Ovis aries: one gene and its partner. The protein of the gene in region 1 purifies or fractionates together with the protein of each later gene. This does not show direct contact. Links are inferred from orthologs where the notes say so. Each region holds a gene or a part of one and is shown on either strand. Other genes may lie near its edges.

Evidence for each region.
Region 2: the proteins of SBF1 (region 1) and MTMR1 purify together in Homo sapiens (affinity purification with mass spectrometry; 4 studies listed by BioGRID and IntAct, with this or other methods). This does not show direct contact. The link is inferred for Ovis aries from reciprocal best matches to the Homo sapiens genes SBF1 and MTMR1.

Annotation. Positions count from the first base shown.
Region 1 is NC_056056.1:225,676,400-225,683,616, reverse strand, and holds the end of SBF1 (myotubularin-related protein 5), read left to right. Parts: intron 1-3,677; coding exon 3,678-3,785; intron 3,786-3,905; coding exon 3,906-4,117; intron 4,118-4,597; coding exon 4,598-4,685; intron 4,686-4,755; coding exon 4,756-4,887; intron 4,888-4,959; coding exon 4,960-5,058; 3' UTR 5,059-5,391; downstream 5,392-7,217. Other genes in the region: PPP6R2 (serine/threonine-protein phosphatase 6 regulatory subunit 2), read right to left, coding at 6,796-6,847, 6,928-7,152. UniProt on the Homo sapiens protein: Acts as an adapter for the phosphatase MTMR2 to regulate MTMR2 catalytic activity and subcellular location. Promotes the exchange of GDP to GTP, converting inactive GDP-bound Rab proteins into their active GTP-bound form.
Region 2 is NC_056080.1:84,824,255-84,831,651, forward strand, and holds part of MTMR1 (myotubularin-related protein 1), read right to left. Parts: intron 7,334-7,397; coding exon 7,239-7,333; intron 6,831-7,238; coding exon 6,723-6,830; intron 3,316-6,722; coding exon 3,214-3,315; intron 2,897-3,213; coding exon 2,813-2,896; intron 1,966-2,812; coding exon 1,816-1,965; intron 379-1,815; coding exon 190-378; intron 1-189. UniProt on the Homo sapiens protein: Lipid phosphatase that specifically dephosphorylates the D-3 position of phosphatidylinositol 3-phosphate, generating phosphatidylinositol. Could also dephosphorylate phosphatidylinositol 3,5-bisphosphate to produce phosphatidylinositol 5-phosphate.

The DNA of each region.
Region 1 (7,217 bases):
TTGGATCTTGCAATCCAAGGGACTCTCAAGAGTTTTCTCCAACACCACAGTTCAAAAGCATCCATTCTTCAGCGCTTAGCCTTCTTCACAGTCCAACTCTCACATCCATACATGACCACAGGCTTGACTAGACGGACCTTAGTCGGCAAAGTAATGTCTCTGCTTTTTAATATGCTGTCTAGGTTGGTCATAACTTTCCTTCCAAGGAGTAAGCGTCTTTTAATTTCATAGCTGCAGTCACCATCTGCAGTGATTTTGGAGCCCCAAAAATAAAGTCTGACACTGTTTCTACTGTTTCCCGTCTATTTCCCATGAAGTGACGGGACCGGATGCCATGATCTTCGTTTTCTGAATGTTGAGCTTTAAGCCAAATTTTTCACTCTCCTCTTTCACTTTCAACAAGAGCCTTTTTAGTTCCTCTTCACTTTCTGCCATAAGGGTGGTGTCATCTGCATATCTGAGATAATTGATATTTCTCCCGGCAATTTTGATTCCAGCTTGTGTTTCTTCCAGTCCAGCGTTTCTCATGATGTACTCTGCATATAAGTTAAATAAGCAGGGTGACAATATACAGCCTTGATGTACTCCTTTTCCTATTTGGAACCAGTCTGTTGTTCCATGTCCAGTTCTAACTGTTGCTTCCTGACCTGCATACAGGTTTCTCAAGAGGCAGGTCAGGTGGTCTGGTATTCCCATCTCTTTCGGAATTTTCCAGTTTATTGTGATCCACACAGTCAAAGGCTTTGGCATAGTCAATAAAGCAGAAATAGATGTTTTTCTGGAATTCTCTTGCTTTTTCTATGATCCAGCAGATGTTGGCAATTTGATCTCTGTTTCCTCTGCCTTTTCTAAAACCAGCTTGAACATCTGGAAGTTCACGGTTCATGTATTGCTGAAGCCTGGCTTGGAGAATTTTGAGCATTACTTTACTAGCATGTGAGATGAGTGGAATTGTGTGGTAGTTTGAGCATTCTTTGGTATTGCCTTTCTTTGGGATTGGAATGAAAACTGACCTTTTCCAGTCCTGTGGCCACTGCTGAGTTTTCCAAATTTGCTGGCATATTTAGTGCAGCACTTTCACAGCATCATCTTTCAGGATTTGAAACAGCTCAACTGGAATTCCATCACCTCCACTAGCTTTGTTCGTAGTGATACTTCCTAAGGCCCACTTGACTTCACATTCCAGGATGTCTGGCTCTAGGTGAGTGATCACACCATTGTGATTATCTGGGTCATGAAGATCTTTTTTGTATAGTTCTGTGTATTCTTGCCACCTCTTCTTAATATCTTCTGCTTCTGTTAGGTCCATACCATTTCTGTCCTTTATCGAGCCCATCTTTGCTTGAAATGTTCCCTTGGTATCTCTAATTTTCTTGCAGAGATCTCTAGTCTTTCCCATTCTGTTGTTTTCCTCTATTTCTTTGCATTGATTGCTGAAGAGGTTTTCTTATCTCTTCTTGCTATTCTTTGGAACTCTGCATTCAGATGCTTATATCTTTCCTTTTCTCCTTTGCTTTTTGCTTCTCTTCTTTTCACAGCTATTTGCAAGGCCTCCCCAGACAGCCATTTTGCTTTTTTGCATTTCTTTCCCATGGGGATGGTCTTGATCCCTGTCTCCTGTACAATGTTACGAGCCTCAGTCCATAGTTCATCAGTCACTCTGTCTATTAGATCTAATCCCATGAATCTATTTCTTACTTCCACTGTATAATCATAAGGGATTTGATTTAGGTCATACCTGAATGGTCTAGCAGTTTTCCCTACTTTCTTCAATTTGAGTCTGAATTTGGCAATAAGGAGTTCATGACCTGAGCCACAGTCAGATCCCAGTCTTGCTTTTGCTGACTGTATAGAGCTTCTCCATCTTTGGCTGCAGAGAATATAATCAGTCTGATTTCGGTGTTGACCATCTGGTGATGTCCATGTATAGAGTCTTCTCTTGTGTTGTTGGAAGAGGGTCTTTGCTATGACCAGTGCGTTCTGTTGGCAAAACTCTATTAGTCTTTGCCCTGCTTCATTCTGCATTCCAAGGCCAAATTTGCCTGTTACTCCAGGTGTTTCTTGACTTCCTATTTTTGCATTCCAGTCCCCTATAATGAAAAGGACATCTTTTTTGGGTGTTAGTTCTAAGAGGTCTTGTAGGTTTTCATAGAACCGTTCAACTTCAGCTTCTTCAGCGTTACTGGTTGGGGCATACACTTGGATTACCGTGATATTTAATGGTTTGCCTTGGAAACGAACAGAGATCATTCTGTCATTTTTGAGATTGCATCCGAGTACTGCATTTCGGACTCTTTTGTTGACCATGATGGCTACTCCATTTCTTCTGAGGGATTCCTGCCCGCAGTAGTAGATATAATGGTCATCTGGGTTAAATTCACCCATTCCCGTCCATTTTAGTTCGCTGATTCCTAGAATGTCGACGTTCACCATTGCCATCTCGTTTGACCACTTCCAATTTGCCTCAATTCATGGACCTGACATTCCAGGTTCCTATGCAATATTGCTCTTTATAGCATCAGACCTTGCTTCTATCAGCAGTCACATCCACAACTGGGTATTGTTTTTGCTTTGGCTCCTTCCCTTCATTCTTTCTGGAGTAATTTCTCCACTGATCTCCAGTAGCATATTGGGCACCTACCTACCTGGGGAGTTCCTCTTTCAGTATCCTATCATTTTGCCTTTTCGTACTGTTCATGGGGTTCTCAAGGCAAGAATACTGAAGTGGTCTGCCATTCCCTTCTCCCCGGGGACCACATTCTGTCAGCCCTCTCCACCATGCCCGCCCGTTTTGGGTGGCCCCACACGGCATGGCTTAGTTTCACTGAGTTAGACAAGCTGTGGTTCTAGTGTGATGAGATTGGCTTATTGTCTGCGATTGTGGTTTCAGTCTGCCATCTGATGCCCTCTTGCAACACCTACCATCTTACTGGGGTTTCTCTTACCTTGGACGAGGGGTATCTCCTTACGGCCGCCCCCTCCTGACCTTGCATGTGGAGTAGCTCCTCTCGGCCCCTGCGCAGCCACCACTCCTTGGACATGGGGTTGCTCCTCGTAGAGAAGCCTTTCCTCCAGGCTCCATGGACATGGTCTTTTCAGGTTTCAGCAGAAGGTCTGTGCCATCAGCAGGGTGTCCCCGTGGATTCTGCATCTCCCCACACGGTGTGGCCTCCAGCGTCCAGATGTAGCTCACAGCTTTTGAGTAGCTGCTCTCTGCCAGGCCTCGCAGGATCTTGCTGCACATGTGGCGCTTGCTCTTGGCTAGAGATGCTCGGGGTGGGGGGTGTCTGTGGGGAGAGGGTCGAGCTCCTGCTCCCCCCCCCCCGCCTCTGCCCTGCCCGCTCGGGCTCCCGTGTGACCCTCTTGGGCCTCAGGCTGCAGCATGGCCCCGTAACCGCTCAGCTCCTCCTGCCTGTGTGCCAGGCAGCGCCCTGTTGCTCTTTTGAAGACAGCTTTTTTCCTGGCTGACACGTTTGGAGTCTCTCTTCAGCCGTCTCTCCACGTGCGGGGTTTCTCCACGTGCGGGCTCTGTCCAGCCCCGCGCCCTTGCGCCTCTGGCTCGTGGATGAGTCGCACGCTCGGTGCATCTTTTCTCCGTCTCCTTTCTGCAGCCTTCATCCTTGTCTTCACGTGTCCCCTTCTGCAGAACCTTTTACTTCACTGGTTCCCCCCCGCAGGAGATGCAGCGACTGGAGACTGAGCTGGGCCGACCCCCCGAGCGCTGGAAGGACGCCTGGGATCGGGTGAAGGCGGCCCAGCGCCTCGAGGGCCGGCCAGACGGACGTGTGAGCGGGGCGGGTGTGAGCGGGGCGGGTGTGAGCGGGGCGGGTGTGGGGGGCGGGTGGGCAGGCCTGCAGCCAGGAGGCGGGGAGGCCCCCCTGACCCGGGCCCCTTCCTGCCTGCAGGGCACCCCCGGCTCCCTGCTGGTGTCCAGCGTGCCCCACCACCGCCGCTCGCTGGGTGTGTACCTGCAGGAGGGCCCTGTGGGCTCCACGCTGAGCCTCAGCCTGGACAGTGACCAGAGCAGCGGCTCTTCCGTGTCCAGCTCGCGGCAGGCAGCCCGCCGCAGCACCAGCACCCTCTACAGCCAGTTCCAGACGGCGGAGAGTGAGAACAGGTCTGCGGCCGCCCCCGAACAGGCGCGGCGGGCTTCAGGGGGCGCCTTCGGGGGGCTCGCAGGGATTTCTCAGGACTTATTGGTGGGGGAGGCCCTGCCGGTGGCCTCCACGTGAGCTGACCAGGGCTGGGAAGAAGCAGGTGGGCTCAGCCTTTGGGACACGGAGCTGGTGACCTCAGCCAGAGAGGGAAGGGACGGCTGCGGTTGGCATGGGCCCCGCGGGCTGCACCCCCTTTCTGGGCCCAGGCGCCGCTGGCCGCAGTCACCGGAAACCTGCCCGGTTGTTGGGGCCTGCTGTCCGTGGGATGTTGTTGCCCTGAGGCCCTGGCAAGGCCCTCACGAGCCCGTCGGGGCCCAGGGCTCCGGGCTGAGGCTGGCTTGGGGGCGAGTGCCTGGGCTTTGCTGCTGGCCCTGGCAGGGGTGCAGAGGGCACCAGGGCCAGGCCCTGAAGTGGTCTGGCCGGTCCTGCTGCCGACACAGGTCCTACGAGGGCACCCTGTACAAGAAAGGTGCCTTCATGAAGCCCTGGAAGGCCCGCTGGTTTGTGCTGGACAAGACGAAGCACCAGGTGAGTGCTGGGCGCCCCGCTGGGGTGGGGCTTCGAGGGCCCCGCCCTGACTCCTGCCCCCCCACCGCAGCTGCGCTACTACGACCACCGTGCTGACACGGAGTGCAAGGGTGTCATCGACCTGGCCGAGGTGGAGGCTGTGGCACCAGGCACGCCCGCCATGGGCGCCCCCAAGACCGTGGATGAGAAGGCTTTCTTTGACGTGAGCTGCGGTGGGAGTGGGGTGGGGCAGCTGCCCCCGGGAGGGCCGAGGGTCAGCGTCCTGTGTCCGCAGGTGAAGACGACGCGTCGCGTTTACAACTTCTGTGCCCAGGACGTGCCGTCGGCCCAGCAGTGGGTGGACCAGATCCAGAGCTGCCTGTCGGACGCCTGAGCGTGGCCCTGCCCCGCAGCCCTGCGTCCAGTTACCGACCACTAGGGGTGGGCAGGGCCCCCCGGCCATGTTTACAGCCCCCACCCTTGACAGTATTGAGGCCCTCCCCCTGCGTGTACAGCCCCCCGCCCCGCCCCGCCCCGCCCCGCCCCGCCAGCTCCAGCTCCAGCTCCCTGGAGGCCTGGCTGAGTGCCCGCCGGGAGCAGCACGGTACAGCCCTCGCGGTGGGCCTGTAAATAGTCCCCCCCGCCCGTCTGTGTGCTGGCCCTGGCCGGCCGGCCCCAGGCGCCCTCTTCCTAGAACGAGAGTCTATAAAGAGCTAACGACACCGCGTGCCTGCGTCTGTTCCACCTGCTTTCCCCACCCCCCCACCCTGAGCCCGGGCCGCATCATGGGGGGCATTGTCAGGGCCTTGTTTGGGGTCTGCTCCCCACCAGGCCTCAGGCAACCCTGGGGCTGGTACAGAGCAGCGACCCCCCAGGAAGCTGCCCTGCATCCAGAGGGCTGGGGGGTGGCAAGGACGGTGCAGCTCCGTGGTCCCTGGCCAGATGAGAGTACCCGGGCCAGGGGGACGCCAGGAGGGTGGGTGTTCGAGAAGGCAGGGGTGCTCGGGCAGACGCAGGGTGGCGGGGCATGGTGCCCTGACGGCATCTGTGCTGGGAACTCTATCCAAATGCCTGTCTCTTACTCCCGTGAGTCCTGCCATCTGGCCCTGACCATCCCCACTGCCCTATTCTGGGCTGTAATGGGGGTCACCTGGACTGGGTCTCACTTGCAATGGGTGCCAACCAGTGGCAGGGCGGCAGCAGGTGGGAGGTGGGGTGTGGCACTGCAGAGGCCAGGGGCCCCCGAGAGGTCCTGGGTGGAGAGCACAGCACAGTGGGGCACCCACTGTGGGAGGGGGGCTCCCGGCCCGGAGACAGCCGTCGGGCTGAGGCCCTGCCCAGCGCTCAACTCCAGGCGGAGCTGCTCTTGGCACTGACTCAGACGGGCCTGGGGCAGTGGAGGGCCTGCCGCTGAACACCACGCGAGACACAAGGTCTGTAGGTGAGAGTGACAACCTTTATTGGAGGCGAGGGTCTGAGTGCCGTCAGATCGTCAGGTCATGTGAGCTGACCCTGCAGACCACCCCCCTGCCCCCCGGACAGCTCGGTGCCCCCCAGCACTGCTGGGGGCGCCCCGCCCCGCCCACGGCCCACACCGCCAGCGCGCACTGTGGGAGGCCCAGGACACCCCGCCAGGCTGCAGGAGCTTGGGTTTTAAGGCAGTCATTTGCAGCCTGGCACGGCCCGCTCCCAGCTCTGGGCAGCTAGGGACCCGGTCTGGCCCGCCCTGCTCCAGCCCCGCATCTGGACCCAGAGCCTTGGAGACCCTCTCCTGCGCCAGATAAAAAGTGCAAACACGTGGCTCTTCCTGCATCTGCTAAGAAAAAACTGGTAAAAAACAGGCAGGGAGTCTGTGGGGTCTGGCCTGGCCCTCGGGCCTCTGGGGTTGCAGCCCCGGGCTCCCACAGGCAGAGCCACGGCCAAGGCCTTATTGCTGTGTGCGGGGCTGGACCCCCGTGGCCACCCGGTCGGGGTCAGGCAGGAGAAATGCAGGCGGGGCTGTCTGGCTAGTTCCAAGTGCCAGCTTTACCAATGCAGCATTTATTTTAAAATTAAATTAAATTAAATTAAAAAGAGACTGCATCACCAGGTGCTTTTCTGGGCTGGGTGCCAAGACTGCGCAGCAGCGGCGTCACACGGGGCCACTGAGGGCGGCTCCGGAGGGTGGTGGCCCGCCAGCCTGTCTGCGGGGTGGGGGGGTCGCTCAGGGCTGGGCTCCCTGGCCCGGGGTCCCGCAGCCCCTCCCCTGGCCTGACCGGCTCACCTGTCTCTTGGCACTGTCCCCAAGGCGGCTGCCATGGACACGGCTGGGCTGGCGGGGGCTGCGGTGGTGACGGCCACCATAGGCCCGGGGGGGACAGCCACGGCCAGCACAGGGGAGACGGCCTGGGGCGCAGGGCCCGTCATGGTGGCCTCAGCGGAGGCAGTGGGCGCCTCGGCAGGGTCCAGGGGCACCGGGCCGGGCGGTGAGCTGGGGGCACAGTCAGCCCTGTGCAGCAGAAGGGTTCTGGTTACCCGGGCCCCTGTTTTGCCGCCCCAAGTTCCAAACACTCC
Region 2 (7,397 bases), on another chromosome or scaffold:
TCTCTTTCTTGGTCTTCACTTTCTGGGTCAGCAGACAGGATTGTGGAGGGGCAATGAGAAGACCAGGCTCATGAGGGCTGGAGATCTAGGAGGCCCGCTGTGGACTGCTCCACAGGAGTCCACCTTCATGGGGCTATCTGAATGGCATGATGCTTTACAAACAGTTGACAGGAAGAGCTTCTGCAGTACCTTGTTTGTGTCGGCGACGCTGTTTTGCCGGGCATCAAAGATGATGAGTTTGTGAGCCTGTGCATTAGCATCCATTATTGTTTGCAAGTACTTCTCATCTTCCTTGCAGCGCTTATCATTGGGACCCACAAGCGGCTGGCTGCAACGGGTAATTGTTGCCTGGCTTTCTGGATGAATCCATGACAACACCTAGTGTTTGAAAGCAACAAGTATTAGTACGGTCCTAAACCAATATGTGCTCTAATGTACCTGTGTGTATGCTCAGTTTCTCAGTCATGTCTGACTCTTTGCAACCCCATGAACTTAGCCCTCCAGGCTCCTCTGTCCATGCAGTTCTCCAGGCAAGAATATTAGAGTGAGTTGCCATTTTCTTCTCTAGGGGATCTTCCCAACCTAGGGATCAAACCCAGGTCTCCTGGGTCTCCTGCATTGGCAGGCAGATTCTTCAGCACTGAGCCACCAAGTTCTTAAGCACACCTGCTTTTTTTTTTTGTATTTTTGTCAAAAGGGACGGTTCAGCCTGAAGACAGTGTGAAAGTAGCCATAAGACTCAATGTTTGGATCAGGCTGAAAGGAGTCTGACTAAGTGAGCTCTAAAAAATCTCCTTTGCCTTTAAAATTCTAGGATTCTAAGAAAAACAGAAACTAAATCAAACCATGACTAACACCAAGCCCATTTCTATTTGATCAACTGATTTTGTCTTCTCATTTAAAAACACCTTTGAATCTCAACTGTGACTCAGATGGTAAACAATCCGCCTGCAATGCAAGAGACCTGGCTTTGATCCCTGAGTTGGGAAGATCCCCTGGAGAAGGGCATGGCAACCCACTCCAGTATTCTTGCCTGGAGAATCCAATGGACAGAGGAGCCTGGTGGGGTATAGTCCATGGGGTCACAAAGAGTCAGACACGATTGGGCAATTAACACTTGGATGTCAACAATGGCGTACATGGCCAGATGAGGACAAAGTAAACAGTCTCTTGTAAAATCTAAAGCTATATCCCCAAACCTACCATTTTCCCCCAGTGTCCAAGACACTTGGGGTCAACCAGATGGCACATGCAGGGCTCAAGACATGCACTCCCTCCCTAACTGTGGTTCCCTCTCTAATATGTATCCCCAGTGTACACATATATCCAAACTCACCAAACTGGATCCACTAAACATGTGCAGGGTTTTTTGTATACCAACAAATCGTTTAAAATACTTCATCCCCTGTTGGCTACTATTTCTTTCTGCAATGGTGGCCCTCCCAGTACAGGTATAGCCTTCCCCTCAGTATCTAAGAAAGAATGTATTTTCTCCAGGATGATTCAGTGACACCAGTGACACAAACTGTCAGCACACTAGCAAGCTTAGCCCTCTGCTATCTATACCATGTTTTGAAAGCATGACTGAAGTTACCCTGGTACTTAGTAACATGAACTCATGGCAGGTGGGATCATAGCAAGCAGACAAAATGCTTATATAATTAGATAGTTATTGAGAATCAAAGATATGTTCAGGTTTATAGACTTATTTTTCTACTTTCCATTTTCTTCATGAGATTTCTTCTAACTTGCTTTTCCCCATATTAGACCAAATACAGTATATGTTCATATCTAAATAACATTATTATTACTTACCGGGATTCTACCTTTTGCTCGAAATGCTGCTACTTTTGAAAGATCATCATCTTTTACACTAGTTGGCACAACAATGATGGCAGGGTAGGTGTCACAGAGCTCATAATTACTGTTTACTTTGGATATTTTCCAACTTTCATTTGGCAAGCCCTGCAAGGTGTCAGAGGAAAGTTGGTGGTGTGTGTGGGGACCATACTTTTATACTTTCAAAAAGTACTAAGCATGAACCACATCCAATTATTTTCTAGTAAAACCCATTTGTAATTCATTGTTCATTACTGCTTAAAAGATTAAATATAATTTATTTTATATAAGCCATTGCCTACCTAATTCATTTTTTAAAAAAATCTAATGAAGCATAATTTCCAAACATACTAAAACATGCAAATTATATACTTGAATTCCAGTCCTATGTATTTCTTATCATGTTTTTTATAACAAGTGAGCATAGTGTTGTTCTTTAAAAATACCCACGGAAGTCCTTTAGAGAAACAGAAACTTCTTTAAAATGTCTAAAGGAATATAAAGTCACCGTACCAAATATAAGGTGTGGACCAAGAGTAAATGTCATGAAAATAACGTCTCATTGGAATATCTTCAAACTAACAATGCACTAAAGAACTTCTAGGTAGAGAAACGCCATCAGACTGACATAGCCATGTCTTATACTCATAATCTAATTTAAGCCATTGCTTTATCCTTACTAATCAACTTAGTATCAGAATACCTAATAAAAACCATCTGGTTGGTTTCTTTGTAACCCTTCCCCTCGTCCTGGTACTTCATTTGCCCTCTGAAAAAAGGAAGAACAAACAGCGGCACAGCTGAAGGTACGGTGCAAGGAGAAGGGGCATCCAGAGCTGAAGAACCAGCAGACTAGGTGAGTTACACCCATGGACAACTTTTTGCAAAAGGTTTCTTCTCCACTACATTTCTACCATTTTAGGAAAAAGATGCTCAACCTATTATTTTCCAGTTGATAAGCATCACACTTTACCTGTCTTTTATATTCAGATACTGGATCATAAACTTTCCATCCATTCACTGGAAATTTTTCTTTATAGTTGAAGGCAAAGAGTGTCTGGATACAAAAGCACAAAATAGACATGTCAGCATCTTTGCACTGTCACATGCACACTACTAAAGCTTTTCATTCAGTTATGAGCTGAATGTATTGAGTCCTACTTTAATCTATAACATTTTGTAAAACAACAAATTTGAAGTTTTCTTCATCATTACACAGAACTGACACAGTTTAAGTACTCAATGTTAGTTACCAACAGAGGGAAAAGAGATAAAGGAAACCTCTGGAAGAAAGAATAACTAACCATGACATTTTTAGACTGCCACGAAGGCATTCAGACCCGCACAAAAAGAAGGTTATTTCCATGTACTTACCTGCCCATTGGAAAGAGGAAATGCATGTTTGTTGAGGTTTTCAAATATCCCTAGTTTACTCTGTTCTTCCTGTTTATAAGCAAGTCGCAAGTTCCTCATATCCTGTTAAACAATTAGCAAACCTCATTGATTAAACATGTATTGAGTACCTATGAGGTAGACCTCATGGTATGAAGAGACAAAATATTTTTATTCATTTCTCACAAAATGTAATTGGCCCTCCATATCTGCATGCTCCATACCCACAAATTCACCCAAGCATGGATCAAAAACATTGGGGAAAAAAGTTCCAAAACACACAACTTGTCAAGCAACTATTTACATAGCACTGACATAGCACTAGGTATTTAAAATGATGTAGAGATGATCTAAAGTACACAGGAGGATGTGCAGAGACTGTATACAAATATGATGCCATTTTACATTTGGGCATTCATGTCTCCAGATGTTGGTATTTGCTGGCGAGGGGGTGTCCTGTAACTAGTCTCTGGTGGACACCAAGTGGTGACTGGACTCCATTTTACTCCAACTAACAAAAGGCAATTCACAAAACACCTCCAACAAGATAATAAATTGAGGAAAATGGAACAAAGGGGAGGTGTTAGGGGGGAAAATTCATCAGATGGAACCAGGAGTAAGGTTAGTACATAAAAGTGGTACATCAAATGGTGTGCCCTTCTGTGCTAAAGGTGTGCCATAAAATCAGTTCTGGCTTAAGCTGCTCAAAGAATCAATTATGGAATTCACACCATCCATCAAATAGAAATCCAACAGAGGTTTCTCCTCTGAACTCGGAGCAAGGATTCTATGTCATGTAGAGACAGTGGCTCTCAGTGACTTCCTTACAGAAATTACAATGTTGCTTCTCAAGATAAGTATCTGAAAGCCCCCTGCTGCACAAGCTGTCAGCCTGAAGCCCAAGTGGAAGTTGTCAGGAGCAAGGCTGACAAGGTGGTTCAAAGGGTGCAATGTCTTCCCAGGACTGGCTTGAGCACTACACCCTGACCTTTCTAAGCCTACGCTCTTTGTTAAAACAGGAATCTCATTCTTTAATCTTACATGGAATTCAAAAATAAATATGACCACAAACAAATTAAAGCAAAAGCAATTGGGGAAGTGAGGAAGGTATTGCTGTGGTATTATTTATAACAGTGAAAGAATGGAAATAACCTAAATGCCTATCAATAAATAAGGGCTGGCTCAATGAACTACAGTACTACTGATGGCATACTACAGAGCTAATGAAAACAAGAAGTGGCTCATTAGGTACTGCTAGCAAGGAATTCCAAGATAATAGTTGAGGGTGGTAAGAAAGGTACAGAACAATGAATGTAACACACGACCATTCACATTTTCAGACACAGGCTTGTATGCAGAGGCCATCTATGGAAACTGGTGCCAGTGGGTGCCTGCACAGAGTGGATCAGAGTGGCTGGAGAGAAACTTACTTTTTGCTACACACAGTTTTTGTACTTTTTGAATTGTATATCACCTGTTTAAGCATGGTCCTGGTAATTCTACACTGAAGAACATTTTAAAACTGCTTTTCACAAAGACTCACCTTGGCCACACACACACACACACAAATATCATAGGAAAGCAACCACAGGACACCTGCCTAAGTGATGTAACTTCCTGCTATGCCCTCCCGCCAAGCTACTCTGGCTACACACATGCTCCTCAGTTGCTGACTGAGCTGACTTGCTATATAGGATTGCTCAGTTCAGAAAGAGAAGGCAATGGCACCCCACTCCAGTACTCTTGCCTGGAAAATCCCATGGACAGAGGAGCCTGGTAGGCTGCAGTCCATGGGGTCGCGAAGAGTTGGACATGACTGAGCGACTTCACTTTCACTTTTCACTTTCATGCATTGGAGAAGGAAATGGCAACCCACTCCAGTGTTCTTGCCTGGAGAATCCCAGGGACGGGGGAGCCTGGTGGGCTGCTGTCTATGGGATCACACAGAGTCAGACATGACTGAAGCGACTTAGCAGCAGCAGCAGCTCAGAGGCAAAGGCATTGCCAGCAAAGACAGAGCATGTGTGAAGCCCCAGGAGTCTGAGTGTGGCAAGGGTTGGCGGGGTCCAAGGCAGGTGGGAGCAACTATAGGAATGGGATGGCAAGAACAAGGGGAGGTGGGCTGGAGTGGGAGCCGCCAAGGAAAGCAAGCCCGCTCACACCATGGGGTCTCCGTGTTTTCCCTCTAGCCCAAGGGCAGCTACTGAAGAGTTCTGAGTAGGTAAATGACCTGTTCCACAATTACAGAATTGACTCACCCACCCCACCCTTGGCTTTAAGTTCTGCAGAGGATTCCCACTGCTCTGCCTGTGGAGAATCCTGGAGAATCAGGACTGCCACCATGGACCCGAGGGGAGGACAGCCACATGTTGCTCGAGAGATGCTAGGAAGCCAGCAGATTTCCGACCCGGCACAGTAAAGGCTTATTTGAAAACGTGAGTTCAACTGCAGTCTAGGGCCAACCAGCAAGAGCCTCACTCAGAGATATGATGGAGGCAGATAGACTGGCAGGAATCTAATCCAAACCCCAAACTGGGAAGGGACCTGGATGGTGCTGCAGACAGGATCTCTTGCCTGGTATTTTAGGTGAGGTTGTTAGTGAACTGTATTCCACAAGGCAAAGTCATTGGAATTGAAGTAAGGTGTTTCTTAAATGACTTTGTTGTTGTTCAGTTGCTCAGTTGTGTCCTACTCTTTGCAACCCCATGGACTGCAGCTTGCCAGGCTTCTCTGTCCTCCATTGCTCAGAGTTGGCTCAAATTCATGTTCATCTTTCATTAGTCCTCATCAAAGCTGTCACACAAATTTTACTTAATCCATTGGAGGAAAGGGACAAAATCAAAATTAAGCATGGCTCAGGTGCAAATTCCAACAAGAAACTCAACTGTGTTTTTAATCACAGAATTTATGAATATTGTTGTCCCTTTAGGGATTCCTGGGTAGCTCAGTAGTAAAGAATCCACCTTCCAATGAAGGAGACACAGGAGATGTGGGTTTGGTCCCTGGGTCAGGAAGATCCCCTGGAGGAGGAATTGGCAACCCATTCCAGTATTCTTGCCTCGGAAAATCCCATGGACAGAGGAACCTGGCGGGATACAGTCCATGGGGTTGCAAAGAGTAGGACACGACTGAGCAACTGAGCACGCACATGCCCACTGTCCCTTTAGGAAGTCTCTGACTAAAAACTAGTATTATAATGACAAACTGCCAAAAAAATACTGATCTCTGCTTTCCACTTGATTTCTCTGAAATGTAACAAATCATGTCACCACCTAGGTTACAGGTCCATGTTAATTGGAACACTTCAACAGAAAAGAAGCAGTTTACTTCAACAGCTTATATAATGGTCTGAATTGGCTGATGAAAGGTTGAAGAGGTTTGTGTCCCGAAGACATCTGAGTGACTAACGTCCAAATTATTCTTACTATCCAAGAGTCCAAGGATGTTCCAGCTGGCTGCCCCATCTCAGTTTCTCTCTGTTTGCACCGTACCTTGCACACGATCTCTATGCCACAAGAGTTGTCTCCATGGCTTTGTGCTCCAATCTTTTCAACTCTGCTGATCACTCCCAGGGGGACATCGAGGACGAAATGTGGGTCCTGGGTTCACAGATGAACATGAATGCCAATCAGTGTCAGTCAACAGAGTTTTCCAATTCAAGTCTTCACTGGCTAAAAACATGTTTGCTTCTTACTTTGATTTTCCTCTTGGTTCTGGCTAAGACACCAAGGTCTGGTTTATCACCTACTTAGTGATGTAGATGTCAAGAGTATAATTAAACCCCACCCCCCACCCCCGTGAAAGTGTTACTTTAAAGTGTTACTTTACTTTAATACTTCTTTTCAACATATAAAATCTGCTTGCACATCTTAAAATGGGCACATTTTAAAACTGACTCTCAGTTTCTCTCAGAGTGGTAGGATTTCAGGATACTTTTTACTATCTTCTTTATTATACGCTTTCTTCTGCAGCATTTTAAAAAATAAAACCCATTTTTAAATACTCACTCTCTCTACATTCTTGAAGTACATCTTAAAGTCCGTCACTGTCAGGGTGCCAGTCACTGCTCCCACAAATGGGCAGATATACATGACATCTTTCACTGAAAGAAAAAACCCCAAATAGCATCTAGTGCCATTGGCTTGTGTTTCAATAAATCTTAACAT